Callithrix jacchus: one gene and its partners. The protein of the gene in region 1 interacts with the protein of each later gene in a biochemical or structural test. Links are inferred from orthologs where the notes say so. Each region holds a gene or a part of one and is shown on either strand. Other genes may lie near its edges. The genes, in order: CASP3, CDKN1A, GSN, PANX1, HCLS1 and PTGES3.

Region 1 (2,615 bases):
TACATAATTCTAATCTTACCTATTTTAGTAAGAAGTTTTAAAAAAGTTACTTATGCCCACTTCCTAAAATAGTTTCAGATACGTTGCTGAGCCCAGGTTCGGTTAAGATGATCTCTTAGTTTTACTCTGTCTCTTCATCATGTTCCCATACAGTATATCTGAAGTTGTTGAATGAAGTCATGGATTTTTTTCCTTTTATGTGCAAATGTCTTTTCAGTTTCTAAAGAAGATCACAGCAAAAGGAGCAGTTTCGTTTGTGTGCTTCTGAGCCATGGTGAAGAAGGAATAATTTTTGGAACCAATGGACCTGTTGACCTGAAAAAAATAACAAGCTTTTTCAGAGGGGATTGTTGTAGAAGTCTAACTGGAAAACCCAAACTTTTCATTATTCAGGTAACGTAACTGAGTGATTTGGTGATTGAAGATTAATCAGGGGCTAATTTTCTCAATTGTAAATTAGCCAAAGGATGTGTGGTTTTTTTCCTGAAGCTAAGAAACTATCGTTACTTTTCATTTACTTAAACTACCACTTAAAAGATACGGAGTAAATTTTAATTTTATACTTACATATCAAAAAGACAACATAATTAACATCCATTTTTACATAGTGTTTCAATTTCTTAGAAATAAGTTATATGTGCACACACAAATTTTTATAATAAATATTTATTTTCTAATGCCCAGGCCTGCCGTGGCACAGAACTGGACTGTGGCATTGAGACGGACAGCGGTGTTGATGATGACATGGCGTGTCATAAAATACCAGTGGAGGCCGACTTCTTGTATGCATACTCCACAGCACCTGGTGAGAACCTTGCACATAATGAATGTTACATGTGGATTTCAAATGAATTTTACTGTGACTAATCATAAAATTATACAGTGAAGAGTGTGTTTCAGAGACTGTCAAGATTTTGATATCCCTAAAGATACAAACTTGTCTATATTTTAGGGTACCTTCATCAAAGAGAAGTCTCCAAAAGTTGTCTTTAGCCAAAAGTTTGGCTAGAAAATATGCATAAATAGCTGGGTGCAGTGGCTCATGCCTGTAATTCTACTGCTTTGGGAGGCCAAGGCGGGTGGATCACTTGAGGTCAAGAGTTCAAAACCAGCCTGACCAACAATGTGAAACCCTGTCTCTACTAATAATATAAAAAATGTAGCAGAGTGTGGTGGCGCGTGCCTGTAATCCCAGCTACTCGGGAGGCTGAGGCAGGAGAAACACTTGAACCTGGGAGGTAGAGGTTGCAGTGAGCCAACATCGTGCCACTGCACTCCAGCCTGGGTGACAGAGCGAGGCTCCTTCTCAAAAAAGAAAAGAAAATATGCATACATAGAGTAGACTAGAGCAATGTCATTCATTGGACTTTTTACCAGGTAGAATATTACATGGCAACAGAGGCCAAAACAGAGCTTCCCTGCATTTTAAAGAAGAAGAGAAGTATGTTTCTCAGGAATTATTTGAAAGGTAGTAAATAAAAAAGATAAACATGACTAGTATATGAGAGGATAGATGTGGAGTGGGAGATAACAAAGAAGGTAAGAAATGACATATGAATATGCTGCTAATCTCCACTGTTTACAGTTCTGCTGTACCTGTCGTCATCTAAAGAAATATTTGTTGAGGGCCAGGCGCAGGGGCTCAAGCCTGTAATCCCAGCACTTTGGGAGGCTGAGGCGGGTGGATCAAGAGGTCAAGAGATCGAGGCCATCCTGGTCAACATGGTGAAACCCCGTCTCTACTAAAAATACAAAAAAAATGAGCTGGGCATGGTAGCGCGTGCCTGTAATCCCAGCTACTCGGGAGGCTGAGGCAGGAGAATTGCCTGAACCCAGGAGGCGGAGGTTGCAGTGAGCCGAGATCGCGCCATTGCACTCCAGCCTGGGTAACAAGAGCGAAACTCCTCAAAAAAAAAGAAATATTTGTTGATTATGCCACCATTTACTTATACAACTACTCAGGGTGCCAGAGGGCGTGACACCTGAAGGAAATGGGAAATGTTTTGTTTTGTTTTGTTTTCTGAAACGGAGTTTTGCTCTTCTTGCCCTGGCCGGAGTGCAATGCCGCTATCTCATATCACTGCAACCTCTGCCTCCTGGGTTCAAGCAATTCTCCTGCCTCAGCCTCCTTACTAACTGGGATTACAGGCATGTGCCACCACACCTGGCTAATTTTGTATTTTTAGTAGAGGTGGGGTTTTTCCATGTTGGTCAGGCTGGTCTCGAACTTCTGACCTAAGGTGATCTGCTTGCCTCGGCCTTCCAAAGTGCTGGGATTACAGGCATGAGCCACCGTGCCCAGCCAACTAAATGTATTTTTATGCAGTGTCGCATTTTAATATGTGCACAGTGTGGTTTCCTCTATCCCCTAGGCCTCTTCCTCAGCAAAGTACCTCTAAGTTAAAAGCAATGGGTCCAACAGTTAACCTGAAAAAGAAAAGTATGATAAATACACTCTTTTCCCTTTTTGGACCTTTGGAATATGTGTATTATACTTTATTCAGATGCTCTGTAGACAAATAGGACACTCAAAGCAATTTATTTCTTGGCTAAGTCAGTATTAAAATCAGGTGAAATGTGATCGGAACACTGTTACTTATAATCCTCTTTATAGA
Region 2 (3,135 bases), on another chromosome or scaffold:
TAGAGATAGGGTCTCTCTGTGTTGCTCAGGCTGGTCTTGAACCCCTGGGCTCAAATGATTCCCCCACCTTAGCCTCCCAGAGTATTAGATTACAGGTGTGAGCCACTGCCCCTGGCCTCCCCAACTGATTCTGATGGGACTCTCTGGTTAAGAAACCTCAAAATTAGAGAGGGAGTAGGTTCAATACTAGAGCACAGGACTCAGGGCAAACAGGCCTGTGTTCAGATCCTGACTCTGCCATTTATGAACTGTGTGACACTGGACAAGTTGCTTAACTTCTCTGAGCCTTTGTTACCTCTGCTGTAAAAAGGGAGCAAATAGCTATTCACTTTTTAGAGGATTGACATTTTTAAACTGCTTAGAACAGCCCCCATACATGAAAATATACAAATGAATCCCAACTCATGCCTAGGAGAGGGTAGACAGAGGTTCCTTGAGGGCTCTGTCCACTGTACTGTGTGACTCCTTTATGGGGCAGTGGCCTTTGGCCTTTTTAGCTGTATGACTTGGGGGCAAGTCTCGTATCTCTTCCATCTCCTGCCCTTTAAACTTGGTGTGAGGTTACCAAGCACCTCCTCTCCCAACCAGCTGGGACGTGAAACTGATCACAAGCAGTGGGGTGAGGTGGGATGGAGCAGATGTGGCATGTGTCCCAGGCTTCCTGCCTCAGGAACACTCAGCAGAGATTTCACCCCCTAGAGCCTGCAAGTTGGGACTTGTCCCTAGGAAAACCCAGTTGCTGCCAAGGTCGTGCAGTCCCTCAGTCCTGGAGTCAAGCCAGAGCGGGCAGCTAGGTGCCAGGGCTCCCTCATTGGCAAACTCACCCTTGGTTTTCCCTCTCCTGAAGTGGGAGGAGAGGAGCCAGGTAGATCAGCCACCTTTAATTTTCTTTGTCTGCAAAACGAGTTCCTTGGACACAGGCAGCACCGGGCAGGGGCTGCCAGGTGTCTAGACTTCAGATCACCTGATGTGCCTGGCAGGATGTGGCTCAGCCTGGGAGAAATTATCTTCTGCCCCGCCCTGCCCAGCCCCGCCCAGCCCCTCCTTACCCCTAGGCCACCCGCCTGATGACATCCTTGGGAAAGGGCTTCAGCCTACAGCACCTGTCAGCTGCTGTCTGAAGGGGATCATTGGCAGGGGGAAGTGATAGGGAGGAGGCTCAGTAAAACTGAAGGCAGACAGAAATAATCACACTTCCATTTTCCAAGCACTTCTGTATATGAAGTGCTGCTGGCACCTTACCTACATTAACTCAGTTAATCCTCACATCTATCCTCTGAGACAGTCACCATTACTATCTCCATTTCACAGATGAGGAAAATAGAGCTCAGACAAGTTAAGTTGCTTGTCCAGGGTCATTTAGTAAAACCTGGACTTCAACCCAGGCGATCTGGCTCCAGAGCCTTTCCGCTTAGCCCCCAAGATACAGCCTTTCATTCAGCTCTGTTCCATCTGCCTTGCTGGGTGGACTCCCCAATCAATTGCTTGAGTATGTGTCCACAGCCATGCTCTTTTTTTTTTTTTTTTTTGAGACAGAGTTTTGCTCTTGTTGCCGAGGCTGGAGTGCAATGGCACGATTTTGGCTCACCACAACCTTCGCCTCCTGGATTTGAGAGATTCTCCTGGCTCAGCCTCCTGAGTAGCTGGGATTAGAGGCATGTGCCACCACACCCAGCTTATTTTGTATTTTTAGTAGAGATGGCATTTCTCCATGTTTGTCAGGCTGATCTCAAACTCTGGACCTCAGGTGATCCGCCCACCTTGGCCTCCCAAAGTGCTGGGATTACAGGCGTGAGCCACCATGCCCAGCCCAGCCATGCTCTTTAAACTTGCACATGGCCCCCTTTATGGGTGAGGAAACTGAGACCTAGAGACAGTAAGTGGCTTTTTAAAACTTAGGTAGTAAGTGGCAGAGCTAGGACCACAACCCAGGTGCTTTTTGCCCCAGAGTCCAGGGTACTTTTACTCGGCTGAGTAGGGTTACCCTACTCGGGCATCTGGGTGGGGGTTCAGGAGGCTGGAGGAACTGTCAGACTGTTTATTTGGGAACTGACCTCCTGGCCAGGGCTGGGATTCAGAAACTGCTGGACTCTGGCAATTCACACGTATTTGGGGGCATTCACACCCATGAGGGACACCTCGGGGGGAAAACAAATTGATTTTAGCTGATAATACCTGGTGGTAAACAGGACCCTGATCCTCGCTTTTGCAATAAACTTGACTTTGTTGACATTAGCTTGCCCTTCAGCTGCCTGCTCCCCCAGTGACCTTGGGGTGACAGGCTGGCTGAGCTCTGCTGGTGGGGGTCAGGCCTCCTGTGAGATGGAGGCAGGAAGACCAGCTGGAAGGAGTCAGAGAGACCCTGTGGTAGGAAGACCTCATGAGGTGGCACAGCAAAGCCCAGCCAGGTAGTGTAGTGTCCAGTTTCCGCGGTGACCAGGGCCTTCCTTGTGTCTCTGCTGCAGGCACCATGTCAGAACAGGCTGGGGATGTCCGTCCGAACCCATCCAGCAGCAAGGCCCGCCGCTGCCTCTTCGGCCCAGTGGACAGCGAGCAGCTGAGACGCGACTGTGATGCACTGATGGCAGGCTGCATCAAGGAGGCCCGTGAGCGATGGAACTTCGACTTTGTCACTGAGACACCACTGGAGGGTGACTTCGCCTGGGAGCGTGTGTGGGGCCTTGGCCTGCCCAAGATCTGCCTTCCCAAAGGGCCCCTGGGAGGAGGCAGGCGGCCTGGCACCTCGCCTGCTCTGCTGCAGGGGACAGCGGAGGAAGACCACGTGGACCTGTCGCTGTCTTGCACCCTAATGCCTCACTCAGGGGAGCGGCCTGAGGAGTCCCCAGGTGGACCTGGAGACTCTGAGGGTCGAAAACGGCGGCAGACCAGCATGACAGGTGAGGACAGGTGCAGGGAAGGACATTGTAAGGGACCAGGATTCTCAGAGTCCATGGTCCAAGGGCTGACCTGTCCGGTCCTGGTCTAGTGTGCTCCTTAGGTAGAAGGGAACAGACCCAGAGGTCACACAGCAAGTAGGCAGCCAAGACCAACTAGCTAACATTGGTGGGGACCTTATATTATGCCAGGCCTTTTGCCAGGCTTCTAAGGTAGATTTATTTAGTCCTTATGCAATGT
Region 3 (4,125 bases), on another chromosome or scaffold:
TGGGAAGCAGGCCTCCTCCAGTTTGGATAGCACTTTCCCTAACCCAATAACTCTAGAGGGAGAGTGGAGGGATGGGAAGGGAGCTTGGGAATGAGGAGGAAATGCAAACTCTCCTCCCACTGCAGAGTCAATGAATAGTACCTAAAAGGGAAACAAAATAAAACAATTTCAAGAAGTAACAAGGGCTTGTTTAGAGACTGAAGGTAAACTCTGAACCATCAGCTAAAAGAGGTAGATAGCAGTGGTTGCCCCTGGGGAGAGGTAAATGGGATGGAGTGGGGGAACAACTGTGTACAAATACTTGACTTTATGTTTTAATCGAAGTAAGACTTTTAAAAAACAAAAACTTTTTTTTTTTTTGAGACGGAGTTTCACTCTTGTTACCCAGGCTGGAGTGCAATGGGGCGGTCTCGGCTCACTGCAACCTCCGCCTCCTGGGTTCAAGCAATTCTCCTGCCTCAGCCTCCCGAGTAGCTGGGACTAGAGGCGAGCGCCACCATGCCCATCTAATTTTTGTATTTTTAGTAGAGAGGGTTTCACCTTGTTGACCAGGATGGTCTCGATATCTTGACCTTGTGATCCACCCACCTCGGCCTCCCAAAGTGCTGGGATCATAGGCATGAGCCACCACCCGGCCCTAAAAAACAAAAACTTTTTAAAAAGGACAGAAAGGCCGTCTTGGGAAAAGTAGGAGGGGGCATCCCAGGAGCTGAGCGTTCTGCCCCGCCCCTCTGAGTCCTGCTGGCTTCACTTGCCCAAGGGAGCTGGGTCCCCTGCCCTGCTGCGGTGCATGCTCCCTGGTGGGGGTTCTCCCAGGCCCGCACTGCCTGAGTTCAAATACCAGGACAGCACCTTTTAGTAGCTGTGTGGAAGTTGCTTCACCACTCTGTGCTGTTCCATCCTCTGTAAAATGGGTTGGCCATTGTCCCCTCTGAAAAGGGTGTGCTGATGCCTCAGTGAAAAGCTTTCAAAAATTGTTAGGTCATGTTATTTTTTTCCTGGAGGTGTTAGGTGCGGAGGAGAGGAGGGGGGCTCGCGTGGGTCACAGGAGGCTCAGCGGGGCTCGCCGTGGTTCGTGCGTGCGACCATTTAGCGTTCACAGAGCCACTGCCTGCTATATGCTAGGCCCGGTGCTGGTGCTGAGTCTCCGCCCCGGAGCTGGGGTGTAGGGGCTGCCGCGCCCTGTCGGGTTGATGCCGGTGGGAACCCAGATGTCTTCAAGATTCGGGACAGATCCCCGCCCCGCGCCCTCCCTGCGGGGCGGTCCCCGGCTTGGGCGGGCTGGGCGGGCGGCTACTTAAGGTCGGCGACCCAAGAACGCAGCTGCCGACTGGGTCCTCTGCAGCTGTCGCCACCATGGCTCCGCACCGCCCCGCGCCCGCGCTGCTCTGCGCACTGGTCCTGGCGCTGTGCGCGCTGTCGCGGCCCATCCGTGCGGCCACTGCGTCGCGGGGGGCGTCCCAGGCCCGGGCGCCCCGGGTGCAGGCGCCCCAGGTGCGGGTGAGTGCCCGGGGGGCCCGGGGCTCCCGGAGTAATTCTCTATTGTAAGTTCTTGCAGATACAGCGCTAGGAAAAGGGGAGTAATTCAGGTCTAGAATGGAAAAACTGTTTTGTTGCTTTGTAAGTATCTCTTGCTGCTTCCGGGGCTCTGGCTCGCAGATGAGGGTGGGAGCCTCGGGGCTCTGGCTGCTCCCTCCCAGGAGGCTAACCTCGCCTTGGCCGGATTTCTTTTCCTCTGTCCCCGTCTGACATCTTACCTCCTGCCTCCTGATTTCTCCTTTTCCTTCTCTGATTTCTTCTGTCTGTGTCACTTCTTTCCTTTCTCTTCCGATGTCTTCTTCCCTTTCCGATTCCTTGTTCGCATTTGCTCTCTCTCCCTCTCCAGTATTTCCTTCTTTCTTGTATGACCTCACCTCTGTCTGCTTATGGTCATTACTATTATTTCTTCTCTCCTTTCTGCTGTCTTCCCTGTCTCGTCTGGTTTCACCTCCTCTCTCCTGTTTCCCTTGTGTTTTTTCACCCTTCTGCCTGAGTTCCCCCCGCCTGGTTTCTCTGACTTTCCCCCTCTGACTTTTACTCCCACCAGATCTCTTCTCCGGCCAGAGGTGACCTGCACCTGCTGATTTTTGTCCTTGACTCCAGCCTAACCCTCCTGCGTCTGCCCCAGCCCCAGCCCCAGCCCCAGTGCATGTCTAACCGCCTCTTCATCCTTAACCACCTCATCTCCAACAGCCTCCTGCAGACCCCGGTGCATCCTCTTCACTTCTTCCAAGAAATGAAATTTGCGGGTGGGACATTGCAGGGCAGGAGGGAGGAGGCAGACAGCGCAGGAGGCCACTTGGGCTCAGCCATTTGGACCCTTCTTGAGGGTATGATAGGGATGGGTGCAGAGAGGAGAGGGGGCTCCTGTAGGCCACAGGAGGCTCAGCTGGGCTCACTGAAGTTTGCAAATGCACCCATTTAACATGCACAGAGTTAGCGCCTGCTGTATGCCAGGCCCTGTGCTGGAAATCTTTCCACTTCCAAAGAGCAAAAGCAAACAGGCTGTGTGACCTTGGGTCAGTCCCCTCCCCTCTTTGAGCCTCAGTTTCTCTATCTGCAGATTGGGTTCAGATAATGAGCTCTCAGAGAGCCTTTTAGTTGTGATAGCCATTGAAGATGCTGGAAGGGAGCAAGCTGAGACCCTAAGAACCCCTAGATTTACTATTGCCATCTGAGGGGTCTACCCATAGTCCCAGAGCTTATGATCTTGGAACCTGGGGCAATCCCTGCTACACTGTTTCCTAGCTGGAGGTCCCTGGCAGAGTCCCATCACCTCTCTGTGCCTTGATTATCACATCAATTGGCAATAAGAAAAGAAGGGAGGCTGGGTGTGGTGGCTCGCGCCTGTAATCCCAGCACTTTGGGAGGCCAAGGTGGGTGGATCACCTGAGGAATTCAAGACCAGCCTGACCAACATGGTGAAACCCCACCTCTACTAAAACTACAAAATTAGCCAGGCGTAGTGGTGCATGCCTGTAATCCCAGCTACTTGGGAGGCTGAGGCAGGAAAATGGTTTAAACCCAGGAGGCGGAGGTGGCAGTGAGCCGAGATCAAGCCACTGCACTCCAGCCTGGGTGACACAGTGAGACTCTGTCTCAAAAAAAAAAAAAAAAAAAAGAAAGAAAAGAAAAGAAGGGAACAGGGAAGTAGAGCCCTCTGTGCCCCCCATCACCAGAAAAAGCCGATGGCAGGTTGAGTAGGAGAGATAGATGCTGGCTGTGGCGCAGGATTTGAGGCATAAAACTCTTGCCCTGTTTGCTGACTCATTGAGACAGGGCATTCAGAAGGGGATAGGCTTGCCTGCGGCATTGGGAGAGCAGGAGGCTCAAGTGAGATGCTCTTGGTGCTAGAAACCACCCTCCCTCATGCCTGGGGTCCCTCCCTGCTAGGACCCATGCCCCTGCTCAAGCTCTGCCCTGTCTCTTCCCAGCCCAGCAGCATGGTGGTGGAACACCCCGAGTTCCTCAAGGCAGGGAAGGAGCCCGGCCTGCAGATCTGGCGTGTGGAGAAGTTCGATCTGGTGCCTGTGCCCACCAACCTTTACGGAGACTTCTTCACGGGCGATGCATACGTCATCCTGAAGACAGTGCAGCTGAGGAACGGGAATCTGCAGTATGACCTCCACTACTGGCTGGGTAAGGCTGGCCCTGCCCAGCCCTGCCCCAGCCCCCATTCTGAACAGTGCAGATCTTTGAGGCGTGGTCCCCAGGAAGGGAACTTATTATTGAGAAACCAGTATGCGCCAGGCTCTTGGCTAGTGGTTCATGCCCCTAGACTCTAGAGCCAGCATGGTCGAGTTCACACCCCTACTCTGCTCCAACCCTTGGTCTGCCTCTGCCCTTTGGCAAGTCACTCGATGTCCCTGTGGAGTGAACATGATGATAGCTCTGCACTACCTCACAGGAATGTTGCGAGGGTTAAACACTTTACTATGGCACTGAGAACTGTGGGTCAATTGGAGACCCTGGACCCCTCCATAACCTCCCTGGGCCAGCTCCAGGCACTTCCTAGTTTGCCCTTCGGAGTCAGGAGCCCTGAGTCCCCGCCACACCTCTGCTGTGTGATGCTATAAGTCCTACCCA
Region 4 (4,189 bases), on another chromosome or scaffold:
TCTGAATCATATGAACTTTGATTTTCTTGTGCACAAAGCATTTTAGCCTGTGTGTTGTCATCTGCAGCCTGTGACTGTAACCTCTGTACTATACCCTCTGAAAACCCAACTGTGATATGAGGGGTCCTCCTCCCTTCTCCTAAACTTTCTTATAAAAGCCTTCCAACGTTTAATAAACTTTGAAACATATCCAACTTTGTTGGTAAGTCTTCTTGGGTGGGTCCTCACATTTACCTTCCAATCAGTCAAATTATTTCCACCTCAATAGCCTTAATTTCCATGGACACTGGTCAGAGCATTTCCTCCTGTCTTTCTTTTTTTTTCCAATTTTTTAAATTGCATTTTAGATTTCGGGGTACATGTGTAGAACATGCAAGATTGTTGCATAGGTACACACATGGCAGTGTGATGTGCTGCCTTCCTCCCCATCACCTATATCTGGCATTTCTCCCCATGCTATCTCTCCCCAACTCCCCACCCCGCACTGTCCCTCCCCTATTTCCCCCCGACAGATGTGTGATGCTCCCCTCCCTGTGTCCATGTGTTCTCATTGTTCAACACCCACCTATGAGTGAGAACATGCGGTGTTTGATTTTCTGTTCTTGTGTCAGTTTGCTGAGAATGATGGTTTCCAGGTTCATCCATGTCCCTACAAAGGAAACGAACTCATCATTTTTGATGGCTGCATAATATTCCACATTTTCTCTGTCCAGTCTATCATTGATGGGCATTTGAGTTGGTTCCAAGTCTTTGTTATTGTAAACAGTGCTATAATGAACTTACTTGTGCATGTGTCTTTATAATACAATGATTTATAATCCTTTGGATATATATCCAATAATGGGATTGCTGGGTCAAATGGAATTTCTATTTCTAGGTCCTTGAGGAATCGCCACACTGTCTTCCACAATGGTTGAACTAGTTTACACTCCCACCAACAGTGTAAAAGCATTCCTATTCCTCCACATCCTCTTCAGTATCTGTTTTGTCCAGATTTTTTGATGATCGCCATTCTAACTGGCTTGAGGTGGTATCTCAATGTGGTTTTGATTTGCATTTCTCTAATAATCCGTTATGATGAGCATTTTTTCAAATGTTTGTTAGCCTCATATATGTCTTCTTTTGAAAAGTGTTCATATCCTTCTCCCACTTTTGGATGGGTTGTTGGTTTTATTATTGCATATATGTTTTAGTTCTTTGTAGATTCTGGATGTTAGCCCTTTGTCAGATAGGTAGATTGCAAAAATGTTTTCCCATTCTCTTGGTTGCCGGTTCATTCTGTTGGAAAATCCCTGCGTCAGAGGGTGGGCCCGAGGGGCGCGGATGCAGCCGCGCCCACCCCGCCTCGCGTCACCGCGTCTTCCGGAAACTCCACGCCTCTGGGTACTCGGTTTCCCCGGATGGTTCCGGAAGAGCCCGCAGCCGCTGGCGGAGAGAGCACGGCTGGCCAGGAGTCCGCTATAGTCTGGGCGGCGCGGAGGGGCCGGGCCGGAGGTTCAAGCGCCTGCGGGCTCGCTGGAGAGCTCGCATCCGAGTGCCGCGCATCCCCGGGGACTTGCACGGGCTGAGCGCGCTTGGTGGGACGGCGGGAATCGCCGCGCCCAGGTCCCCGCCCCGCCGGCCGCGGAGGCAGCAAGCGCGAGAGCCCAGCAGAGTCCCTGCGACCCGGAGGCGCTGAGACACAAAGGCAGGCGGGATTTGGGCGCAGCCGGGGAGTGGGCAAAGGGAAAGCGAAAGCCGCGCCCCAGGCCGGTGACGGGGTGAAGGCGCCGCGGAGCTCGCCAGACGCCAGCGGTATCTGGACCTGCCTGGCTGACCCCGGCGCGCCGCAGCCATGGCCATCGCCCACCTGGCCACGGAGTACGTATTCTCGGATTTCTTGCTGAAGGAGCCCACCGAGCCCAAGTTCAAGGGGCTGCGACTGGAGCTGGCCGTGGACAAGATGGTCACGTGTATCGCCGTGGGGCTGCCCCTGCTGCTCATCTCCCTGGCCTTCGCCCAGGAGATCTCGATTGGTAAGCTTCGCCCAGGTCGGAGGGGAGGGCCGTCTGGGTCTGGCCGAGTGAGCTGTGATCTTACGATTTTACGGCTCATAGGCCCAAGTCTGGGCACGCCCAACTGTGATGGTCGTAAATGTCAGGTAGGATAGTGGCCCCGGTTTTATAGTCCAAAGTGTTCTTTGCTCAGGTGTTTCATTGGTACTCTTGTCTACCCAGCTTTCATCCCTACTCCTCAGTTTTCTTGTTCCCTGAGACCCACTGATGGGACTGTGGCTTACAGTTCATGTCCCACCTTTAAAACTAGCACCTTGCCACCAGATTTGCCAAGAATAGCCGTGTCCCCTCTTTTCTTCCCTGTCTCCTACATACCTGTCCAGCCGCCTAAAATATTGTACCAGAGAAGTTCCTGAGTGGCCACATGGAGAATGTGAAGAACGCTGTTTCATGAGAAGTGTGTTCTTTCACTGTCTTATATTTAATTGGTATTTGCTGAGATAGCTCTGCAGGGCTGTGAATAATAGGAAATATTTGCACTTGGCAGGCATTAGAGGGATCCTTCATTTGGACGGTCTTATGAATGTGAGATGAACAAGTCCCCTTCCTGTAAATTCTCATGTGAGCTTCATAGGTGTTGTTTGAGATTGGAAAGTCTTCGTGGCTGCTCTTCCTCATCAGCTGTTCTAACTTTCACACAGGAGAGAGTTTTAGGAATCAACAGGAAGGTAGTGCAGGAGGGTTAAATACAGTTCTGTGGCGGGGGAACTGCCTAGTGTGGCTGGACTTTGGGGAAACTTTTGTCAGAGGGTGGGTGGGATTTGGCTAAGCAGGAGTAAGACCTTTGTTAAGGTTTTGAGATGGCAGATAATGTTATATGTTCCTGGAAAGAGAGACACAGTGACTGTCCTAGCCGGCAGGAGGATAAGTCAAGAGTTCCTGGGATCTGAGAGTGAATATGGGCCTGGGTCAGCCTGGAATAGAAGAGTATAGATTGATGGTTTCAGAACTGTGAAGTTTATTGTTTGAGCAGAGGACAGAGTGGTTGAAAACAATAGCATTACGTAAATACTAGCCTGTTGGTGGCATATAGGGTTTGGGAAGGAGGAGAGGATGGGACCTGGAGGGCCAGGTGCCTTAAAGCAAGAAGTCTGTTGAAGTCTTGTGCACAGATGGTGTGAATGGAAGAAAATGGATGGGTGATTGCTGTAAGATCAAGGAGTAAATAAGCAGCACGTGAGTACCTAGTTTGTAATAGGCCATGAAGGGCAGTACTGGTCAAACTTGCTGTGAAGGCTGTATATCTGGGTGAGTGGAGTGTGGTGTTGAGGGTGATGGGAATAGTGAAGTTGAGGGAAGAGTTGGTTAGGAAAGAGTGACGACGAGTGTGATTGTGCAATCTGCAGCACTAAGTTGTTCAGTTTGGCAGGAAGCTGCCAAGTTCATCGTGGAAAGTTAGTTTCTAGTTTTCCTGCTCTTTGCATAGGCATAGTCATTGAGATTTTCATTCGCTTCCCATTTGACAGTGAATTGAGGCTTCCAGCTGAAAGGAAAACCACCAAATAGCGTGTGTCCTGGAGATAATCTCTCCCTTCAGTCAACTCCTCATTGAGTTCTGGCTGTGTGCTGAACTAAGTGCTGACCTCCAAGGACCTGGGAGTAAAAGAGGCCTGGACCCTGTCTTGGAGGTGCGAGTCTTGGGTCCCTGGTTGGAACAGAAAGGCAGGAAGGAGGAGTTGATCGCCCTCTGTGACCAGTCTCCACCTCTAGTGCATGTACTAGAGGGATCCCTAAGGAACCTGCACCTGTAATGCCTTAAGATACATCTAAATTGGTGGGCTGCCTGAGAGGTAATTTTGGGTGATTAGGGGTGGTTTTACCTAGCAAGGGTGTGAGCTCATGCTGTGTGCATAGCACTGTTGTGTGCTGAGGAAGACGGGAAAGGGTTTTGAGACCTTGTTCTCGCCCTGCCCTCCCTCTGGCCTGTGGCAGTTTACTATGCAGTTGGGGCACTAGAACATATCTGTTAGCAGGTAACATTGTTCAGCTGTGTGTAATTCAGCACCCAAACAGGTATTGAGCTATGAGCTCCGGCCTGGTGAAGGTTGGCAGGCACTTGGGTGAGGCGCTATCGAGCAGAGTCCCATGTTTTCTGAAGGGTTTTCAGGAGTTCCAAGGGAGGACATGTTGCATTG
Region 5 (3,500 bases), on another chromosome or scaffold:
GAATGTATTTATTTTTTACGGTCATTTTTATCATTTCACTTAGTCCATCCTTGATTTTTCTCAGAGTGCAGTGGGCCATGAGTACATTGCTGAGGTGGAGAAGCACTCTTCTCAGACGGATGCTGCCAAAGGCTTTGGGGGCAAGTACGGAGTTGAGAGGGACAGAGCAGACAAGGTAAGTGACAACTCTGTCTCCCCGCCGCCCACCTCAAGTCATGTAAAACTTGCTCACACTCACCCCTGGATGTTGGCCCATGCTTCTTTGTTGAAAGACAGCAGTGGATGCAGTGAGGACCTGACACCATTACAGGGATACCTCCCTCAGCAAGTTCCTTGGTGTCAATGTTGGAAACCATACATTGAGCTGAAAGACAGTGATTCAAATGAGGAGAAGACTCCAAACTGTCTGTTTGAATAAGGAATTCCTCAAGCGCCTGGTTTTTATTATACTCATATGCATGAAGATAAAACAGAGAATCAGAAAAACTCTTCTTTTGGCTTAACATCAAAACCTTATAAATACTCATGCCTTTTAGGAAAACAGAGTCGTTAGTTTAAATGTTATTACGAGGGCAGCAAATAATCAAGTTAAACAACTATTTAGGGTTACAGTTTTTTAGAAAGTAACAGTTACTATTTACAGGACTTAGCATCAATATCCAAAGTCCGGGTATCTTTAAAGACTCCTTTGTACAAAACAAAACAAAATGTTGTTTTAAAGAGAAAAAAAAGTACAGTATCATTATAGCAGCATATTGTTGACAGGAGAGTAAGATTGATAACTCATTGATGTGTTTAGTTCCATGCCTCATTAGGTCAGATTCTTTGAACTTATTTTTCATGGTGCAGAATGGTGTCTCCTCCCTTGCAGCTGCACACAGAGGGAGGACATCTTCTTCACAGCTAGCTGAGATGTTTTCTTTTTTTTTTTTTAAACCAGCAGTTGTTATGAATCCTTAAAGCTAAGTTCTAGAACACTAATTGTTTGCATCATGGGGGGAAAAACCATGAAAAACAAAACCAGGAAAGTTTAAAACATACTATAAAGCCAAGGGAAGATGTAGAAGGAAAATTTTAAAGGCAATAGTGGAATATGGAGCATGCAATGTTCTAGAATCAGGATGGAATTCCCTGTTCCATCTTGGTCCCCTCCTGCCTGACTTTGCATAATCTCTGATTCTTACATCTTTTGCTCACAAGCCACAAATGGAATCATCCAGTCAGTGTGTCATGTAAATCAAGAAACAATACATGCTAATGAGTTCTTAAGATGCAAAAACCCAGACTTGCTTAGAGACCCATAGTTCCTGAGCCAGATGGAGAACAAAGCTCCAAAACTCTGTGGTAATGTTAGGTATCTGGGCAACATGTCCAGTCCCGGAGCCAGCTAGAATCCAGACTCTCCAGGTTGCAGTTATCCCACCAAAATCCACATATTTGTGTTTCCATTATTGAGTAATGAAAGAGAAGAGGCACAGCGTTATCAACTGAGAATAGAATAATGTCTCTTCATGAGCAGAGTGCTTTCTACTTTACAAGGCAATTTTCTAGGTATTACCTTTCAGTTTTGTGAGGATTCGTTAGGAAGAAAAGCACTAAGTTAGTGAATGAACCTAAGTAGACACTTTACCTTGTCCCATTTAGTTCTCATGATATCCCAAATGAAGAGGGATCATTTTTCTCACTTTATAGTCAAGTTAGAGAAGGCAGGCATGCCTCTCCTCATTTTATATGAAAAGAGATTGGGGCTTAGTAATATAAAGGAACATGCCTAAATTTCAACAACTATAAATAGGGGATGTAGGGTTTGAACCTAAAACTATCTGTGTCCAGGGCCCACGTTCACTGCTCTGTAGTAGCCTGTGTCCACATCAGCCTGTTCCTACATTAAACATCCATACTCAGCCTCAAGACCCTACAAACTACCTCTGGGGCTGGGCTGGGAGTAAGGACAGGTCAGGGAGGGGAAAACCTGTTGGCTCTGACTCTAACCAATTCTCTCTCCTCCTCTCTGTAGTCAGCAGTCGGCTTTGACTATAAAGGAGAAGTGGAGAAGCACACATCTCAGAAAGGCAAGGAACTGTACTTCACTCAGTCTCAGCAATCTGACTGGCAGGCTCTTCTGCTAAGACTTTATCTTCCAGCAGTTGTCATCAGCTTTTTTAATCCTGTGACCCAGCTCACCACTATTTTATTTACTTTTGTTTGTTTCTTTGTTTTTGAGACAGGGTCTTGTGCTGTCACCCAGGTGGGAGTGCAGTGGCATGATCACCGGTCACTGCAGCTTCGACTTCCTGGCCTCAAGCAATCCTCCTACCTTAGCGTTCTGAGTAGCTGTGACTACAGGTGTGCACCACCATGCCTGGCTAATTTTTTTTTTTCTTTGTAGAGATGGAGTCTCACTATGTTGCCCAGGCGGCCTCATTTCACGTGATCCTCCCCTCTTGCCCTCTCAAAGTGCTGGGATTACAGGCATGAGCCACCGCATCCAGCACTATTTTATATACTTTTTAATCCCAGTCTATACTTGCTTCTCTTTTTCTCCATTATTGCTTTCTATAATATTAAGTTTTTGAATCCCTCTTTTTCCTCTAATGGATTGAAAATAAGGTATTCTATTCCTTTTAGAAAGTTATTCCTAAATTTTAACATGCATCTTTGACTTAAATTTAAAATTAATCACAATCTTGGCCGGGTGCGGTGGCTCACACCTGTAATTCCAGTACTTTGGGAGGCCAAGACAGGCGCACCACCTGAGGTTGGGAGTTCAAGGATAGCCTGACCAACATGGAGAAACCCCGTCTCTACTAAAAATAAAAAATTAGGTGGGCGTGGTGGTGCATGCCTGTAATCCTAGCTACTTGGGAGGCTGAGGCAGGAGAATTGCTTGAACCCTGGAGACAGAGGTTGCAGTGAGCCGAGATTGCACCATTGCACTCCAGCCTGGGCAACAAGAGTGAAACTTGATCTCAAAAAAAAAAAAAAAAAAAAATTAATCACAATCTCTTCCTGAGTATATAAGATACATAGAATATTTTAACTACATTTCTTTTATCAAACCATATTGTTGTTGTTCAGTATATTGGTTCCATCTTATAAACCCCACAAAAATGAATCATTATTATTACTTAGTAAGTGTTTATTTAAATTGACCAAGGTATTTACCTATTTTCTAGCTCACCATTGCTTATTGTATTTCTTTGTTTCATCTTTGCATCTTCTATTTTCTTCTTGCTAAAATATATCCATTAATAAGCCTTTTAATGAGTCTATGTAAGGACTTTCAGTCTTTGAAAAATGTCTTTATTTTGCATTATTCTTATTGTTATATTCCCATCATCACTTTAAAGATAATATTTCATTGTCTCTGAGATCTCTCTTGTGTCAGACTATCTTTCCTGTGTAAGTAACATGGTCTTATCTCTGTTTTTTTTTAAATTAAAGATTTTCTTTTGATTTCTGATATTCCACATTATTATTAGGGCATGTCTAGGTGTTAG
Region 6 (4,070 bases), on another chromosome or scaffold:
GATCCACCGCGCCCAGCTTCGTTTTGAGACAGGCTTTCACTCTGTCGCCCAGGTTGGAGTACAATGGCATGATCTGTGCTCACTGCAGCCTCCGCCTCCCGGGTTCGAGCTATCCTCCCACCTCATACTCCCTAGTTTTTGGCATTACAAGCGCATGCCACCATGCCTGGCTAATTAGTATTTTTGTAGAGATGGGGTTTCACTATGTTGGTCAGGCTGGTCTCGAACTCGTGACCTAGGGAACCACCCTCCTTGGCTTCGCAAAGTGCTGGGATTATAGGCGTGAGCCACTGCACCAGCCCAATTTCCCTCTTTAACGGTATCTGAGCTAGGATCCACGTTTCGTAGCTCCCCAATAATCTGCCTTGTACAGCAGACACTAAGCACCTTAATGCTTATTATGAAACCTCATTCTTCAGAAATATAGCACTTTCCTTAAACCTCCTTCCTGTTCAAAATGCAGTGCACTGGAGTATTTCTCCCCTACTCCACCATTAAGTAGCCTCTTGGTGAGCAGGGCTGTGTTGGGTCTCTCGGTTACTATGCCCTACTACACCCTAGTAGTGTGTTGTAGGAAGCGACGGGGAATCCCTTCTTCCCCAAATAATGTGCATGGAGACACAAAGTGTCTTAGCCTCTCCATTCCAGAAACCTAGACTCTCCCCTCAAATATCCTTCGTGGCTCATCTACAGTACTAAGGTCTCAAGACAGGGGCAAAAGCCAGCCCCGAATGGCAAACGCTCCTCCTCCGCCAAGAACCTCGAATGTCCGCTGTCCCTGGACAGAGCCTCCAACCTTCAGAAAAATGGTGAAGTGAGCCCTTTTCCACAGCACAGGCTTTTCACGTTTTTGTGGTGGAATGTTTCCTGCGTGAGCTGATTTACTCCCTCAAGAGTAACCAACGCTCCATTTCAATTCTCCACGATCCCGACTCCGCGTCCCTCCGCCTCGGCCTTTCCTCCCGCTGCCAACGCAGCGGTTTCTCAGAGAAATCGCCCAAAGAGCGTGGCCGGGCGGTTGGGCGGCCAACGGTTTTCTAACGCGAGAGGACACCGCGGGAGGAGAGGCGGGAACGCGTAAGGACTAGCGGGGGCCGGGGTGGGGGTAGGGTGGCGGACGAAGGGCGGGGCCGGCGCCAGGAAGGATCGCGAAGGAGCTGGGAGGCCCCGCCCTTTCCGTAGATATCTCTAGAAAGCCGCGCCGGAGCCCGAAAACAAGGACTGCGCACGCGCGGTGGCAAGGCCCGGGCATTTTGCTGCGTCACCAGCCGCCGCCCGGCCTCACCACCCCTCGTTCGCACGCACGCACGTTCATTCTCCGTCCTCGCGCCCGTTTTCCTACACTTTCCTCTTCTCCCCGACCGGAGGAGCCGCTCTTTCCGCGCGGTGCATTCTGGGGAGCTAGGTCGAGCCCGCCGCTGTCGCCGTCGCCTGAGGGAAGCGAGAAGAGGCCGCGACCGGGGAGAAAACGCGGAGTCGCCAGCGGAGAGAAGTCGACTCCTTAGCAGCAGCCGCCGCCAGAGAGGCCCGCCCACCCGTTCGCCCGTCCCCCTGCCCCGTTCACAATGTGAGTGCGACACCCCGCCGAGGGAAGGTCGCCCGGAGTGAGGCCAAGGCCGCGTCGGGGGCTCCGGGAATGCGGCCGCGGCCCTCCCTCCACTTTCGGCCCCCCCAGTCTTTCTCGCATCGGTGGTGGCAGTTGTGCCTGCCTGGGGGCGGGAGATCTAGTATCCTTGTTCCGGTTACCGTTGGCGAGTGGAGGACATTTTCCTCCAGATCTCCGCTTCCCCGTGCCGGAAATGCTACTTTTCCCCCTTTGGCCGTCTGGCCGACTCGCTTTCTGTAACTTCACCCTAGGCCTTGAGCTCCTGGTAGCTGCTCGCCATGCGGCGCCCTGAAGCGTGAACCCCCGCGGGTCGCTTCTCGGCCGCCTGGGCGCTCCAGTTCTGCTCCGTGGTCCCGGGGCCAGGCCCTGGGCCGAGCGCACCTGTAGTGGGTGTCGCCAGGTACCTGGCGGAGCTCCTGGGAGAGCCCCACGCGGACCTCGCCGTGAGCTGCATGGTACTGCTAGGTAACTGGAGGGAAGCCATGCCCACGCCGCAACTTACTTCCCTCTCCTGTGTCTGGGTTTCTTGAGTGTGGGTACTTCTAGGCCGCCTCCTAACTCCCAGTCTGTTCAAAACACGGGAGGTTGCCGGAGCTCAGCCGCTTCCCTGGCAGTGAGGAGTTACCGTTGAGCAGGTAGTTGGGCACGTGTCGACTTTGGAAGAATACCTACGGACATTTTCAGTGTTCCATGTTAAACTTTAGGTGAGGTTTCACTATCCTGCCTCAGTGTAGGATGAAGTAGATATGTAATTAACTTACTGTTGTCCTAAAAAGCTTAAATTTGATGGTGTGTAGGTGAATACAAGTTCTATAGCAATCTTCGTTTTATGGTAAAGGAAAGCCTTAATTGATTTTAACCGAATAAGAATTCATGGCACTGCCACATCCAGTGAGGGCTCCTGGTTTTACAGGGTTTGGTTTTGTTTTTTTTTTTTGACGGGACGTTATTTTTTAAGTTATTAGCTAAGTCTTAAAAGATACTGAGAACAATTGAAGGGGAGCGTTCCCCCGCCCACACTCCATTTAGGAGAGATGAGGGGAGTAACTTTATTCCTGCGGAAAAGTAACAAACATTCAAGGGTTTACTTAATTCAAGCCATGATACTGACAGTGAATATATTGGCTAAAAGTCTAAAGGGATGAGTGAGGGGTACACTGAAGCCAGTTTGTCGCTGAGAACAAGCTTCTAGAGCACAGCGTGTATTACTGTAAGGGCGTAAATTAGAATTTTGGAGGAGCCCCCTCCCTGAAAGTGGTACGTAAACGGGGTTTTTACAAATTCGAATCTATGTAAAGTAGTTTTTGCTTTTCCTTCTAGGTAATGTAAAAGGGACTTCAGTCTTAACCTTTTATACTCTGAAAACCTGTAAGGGGAAAATTGTCAGATGAGGTGTTAGCAACTTTTAATACAGCTGAACGTATCTTTTCGCGAAAAATACGTTTAAAATTGGCTTGAGGTAGGAGCACTTTCTGGAGGCCACGTAAGATATTTAAATAGGTAAGAAATGGCTAAGTTAAGTAGATTTTAAAACTTGAAAGAAAAGTCAATGTAAGTCAGGGTGCAGTGGCTCACACCTGTCCTGCACTTTGGGAGGGTCAGGCGGTGGGATCAGGAGTTCGAGACCAGCCTCGTCAATACTGTGAAACCCCGTCTCTACTAAAAATACAAAAACTAGTCGGGCATGGTGGTGCTCACCTGTAATCCCGGCTGGTCTGGCGGCTCAGGCAGGAGAATCGCCTTAACTCTGGAGGTGGAGGTTGCAGTGAGCCAAGATTATTGAGCCATTGCACTCCATCCTGGACGATAGAGGGAGACTCCGTCTCAAAATGTAGCAGTAGAGAGGCTATTCCAAAAAGTAGCCTCTCTGGTTAAAAAAAAAAAAAAAAAGCTACTTTCAAAACAAGTGATCCGATGCCACATGCAGGGTGTTGAGGGAAAAGATGAATGTTTTGAAAGAGACCAGCTAATTTCATCCTTTTAAAAATATTCAGTATGTGTCATTTGGTATATTCTTCAGGGACTCTTACCAAGTTAAAGATTTAAGTGAAATTACAAAATGAATGTTGTAAGTCGGTTGTTTGAGGTGGAAGAATCCTTTACTGGGTCGTCATCCAGTCCTAGGAAGAATCTGGCTGATGCGGGTTTATTTATTTATTTATTTATTTTGAGTCAGGGTCTTTCTCTATCGCCCAGCCTAGAGTGCAGTGGCGTGATCTCAGCTCACAGCAACCTCCACTTCACCTCCCGAGCTCAAGCAATCCTCCTTGCCTCAGTCTCCTGAGTAGCTAGGACTGCAGGCAAGCACCACCATGCCTGGCTAATAAAACCTTTTTTTTTTCTTTAAAGATCTGGAGAGAGATTATGCTGGGTGCATTAAGGGCTTGGGAGAGTGTTTTCTCAGTTGATTTACTCATTTGCTCTTTAGCGATTTCCTAGTTACATTTCTTTACATCCTAAGTTA

The links.
Region 2: of the proteins of CASP3 (region 1) and CDKN1A, one has a biochemical effect on the other in vitro, tested with the Homo sapiens proteins (3 studies listed by BioGRID). The link is inferred for Callithrix jacchus from reciprocal best matches to the Homo sapiens genes CASP3 and CDKN1A.
Region 3: of the proteins of CASP3 (region 1) and GSN, one has a biochemical effect on the other in vitro, tested with the Homo sapiens proteins (2 studies listed by BioGRID). The link is inferred for Callithrix jacchus from reciprocal best matches to the Homo sapiens genes CASP3 and GSN.
Region 4: of the proteins of CASP3 (region 1) and PANX1, one has a biochemical effect on the other in vitro, tested with the Homo sapiens proteins (2 studies listed by IntAct). The link is inferred for Callithrix jacchus from reciprocal best matches to the Homo sapiens genes CASP3 and PANX1.
Region 5: of the proteins of CASP3 (region 1) and HCLS1, one has a biochemical effect on the other in vitro, tested with the Homo sapiens proteins (2 studies listed by BioGRID). The link is inferred for Callithrix jacchus from reciprocal best matches to the Homo sapiens genes CASP3 and HCLS1.
Region 6: of the proteins of CASP3 (region 1) and PTGES3, one has a biochemical effect on the other in vitro, tested with the Homo sapiens proteins (2 studies listed by BioGRID and IntAct). The link is inferred for Callithrix jacchus from reciprocal best matches to the Homo sapiens genes CASP3 and PTGES3.

Annotation. Positions count from the first base shown.
Region 1 is NC_133504.1:6,758,516-6,761,130, forward strand, and holds part of CASP3 (caspase-3), read left to right. Parts: intron 1-217; coding exon 218-393; intron 394-684; coding exon 685-805; intron 806-2,615. UniProt on the Homo sapiens protein: Thiol protease that acts as a major effector caspase involved in the execution phase of apoptosis. Following cleavage and activation by initiator caspases (CASP8, CASP9 and/or CASP10), mediates execution of apoptosis by catalyzing cleavage of many proteins.
Region 2 is NC_133505.1:44,985,176-44,988,310, forward strand, and holds part of CDKN1A (cyclin-dependent kinase inhibitor 1), read left to right. Parts: intron 1-2,465; coding exon of another isoform or gene 2,466-2,470; coding exon 2,471-2,897; intron 2,898-3,135. UniProt on the Homo sapiens protein: Plays an important role in controlling cell cycle progression and DNA damage-induced G2 arrest. Involved in p53/TP53 mediated inhibition of cellular proliferation in response to DNA damage.
Region 3 is NC_133502.1:169,699,613-169,703,737, forward strand, and holds the start of GSN (gelsolin), read left to right. Parts: upstream 1-1,325; 5' UTR 1,326-1,356; coding exon 1,357-1,500; intron 1,501-1,549; exon of another isoform or gene 1,550-1,596; coding exon of another isoform or gene 1,597-1,620; intron 1,621-3,473; coding exon 3,474-3,678; intron 3,679-4,125. UniProt on the Homo sapiens protein: Calcium-regulated, actin-modulating protein that binds to the plus (or barbed) ends of actin monomers or filaments, preventing monomer exchange (end-blocking or capping).
Region 4 is NC_133511.1:46,208,690-46,212,878, reverse strand, and holds the start of PANX1 (pannexin-1), read left to right. Parts: upstream 1-1,389; 5' UTR 1,390-1,834; coding exon 1,835-2,015; intron 2,016-4,189. UniProt on the Homo sapiens protein: Ion channel involved in a variety of physiological functions such as blood pressure regulation, apoptotic cell clearance and oogenesis.
Region 5 is NC_133516.1:81,347,644-81,351,143, forward strand, and holds part of HCLS1 (hematopoietic lineage cell-specific protein), read left to right. Parts: intron 1-64; coding exon 65-175; intron 176-2,017; coding exon 2,018-2,072; intron 2,073-3,500. UniProt on the Homo sapiens protein: Substrate of the antigen receptor-coupled tyrosine kinase. Plays a role in antigen receptor signaling for both clonal expansion and deletion in lymphoid cells. May also be involved in the regulation of gene expression.
Region 6 is NC_133510.1:62,968,856-62,972,925, forward strand, and holds the start of PTGES3 (prostaglandin E synthase 3), read left to right. Parts: upstream 1-1,270; 5' UTR 1,271-1,565; coding exon of another isoform or gene 1,566-1,567; 5' UTR 1,568-2,296; coding exon 2,297-2,310; intron 2,311-4,070. UniProt on the Homo sapiens protein: Cytosolic prostaglandin synthase that catalyzes the oxidoreduction of prostaglandin endoperoxide H2 (PGH2) to prostaglandin E2 (PGE2).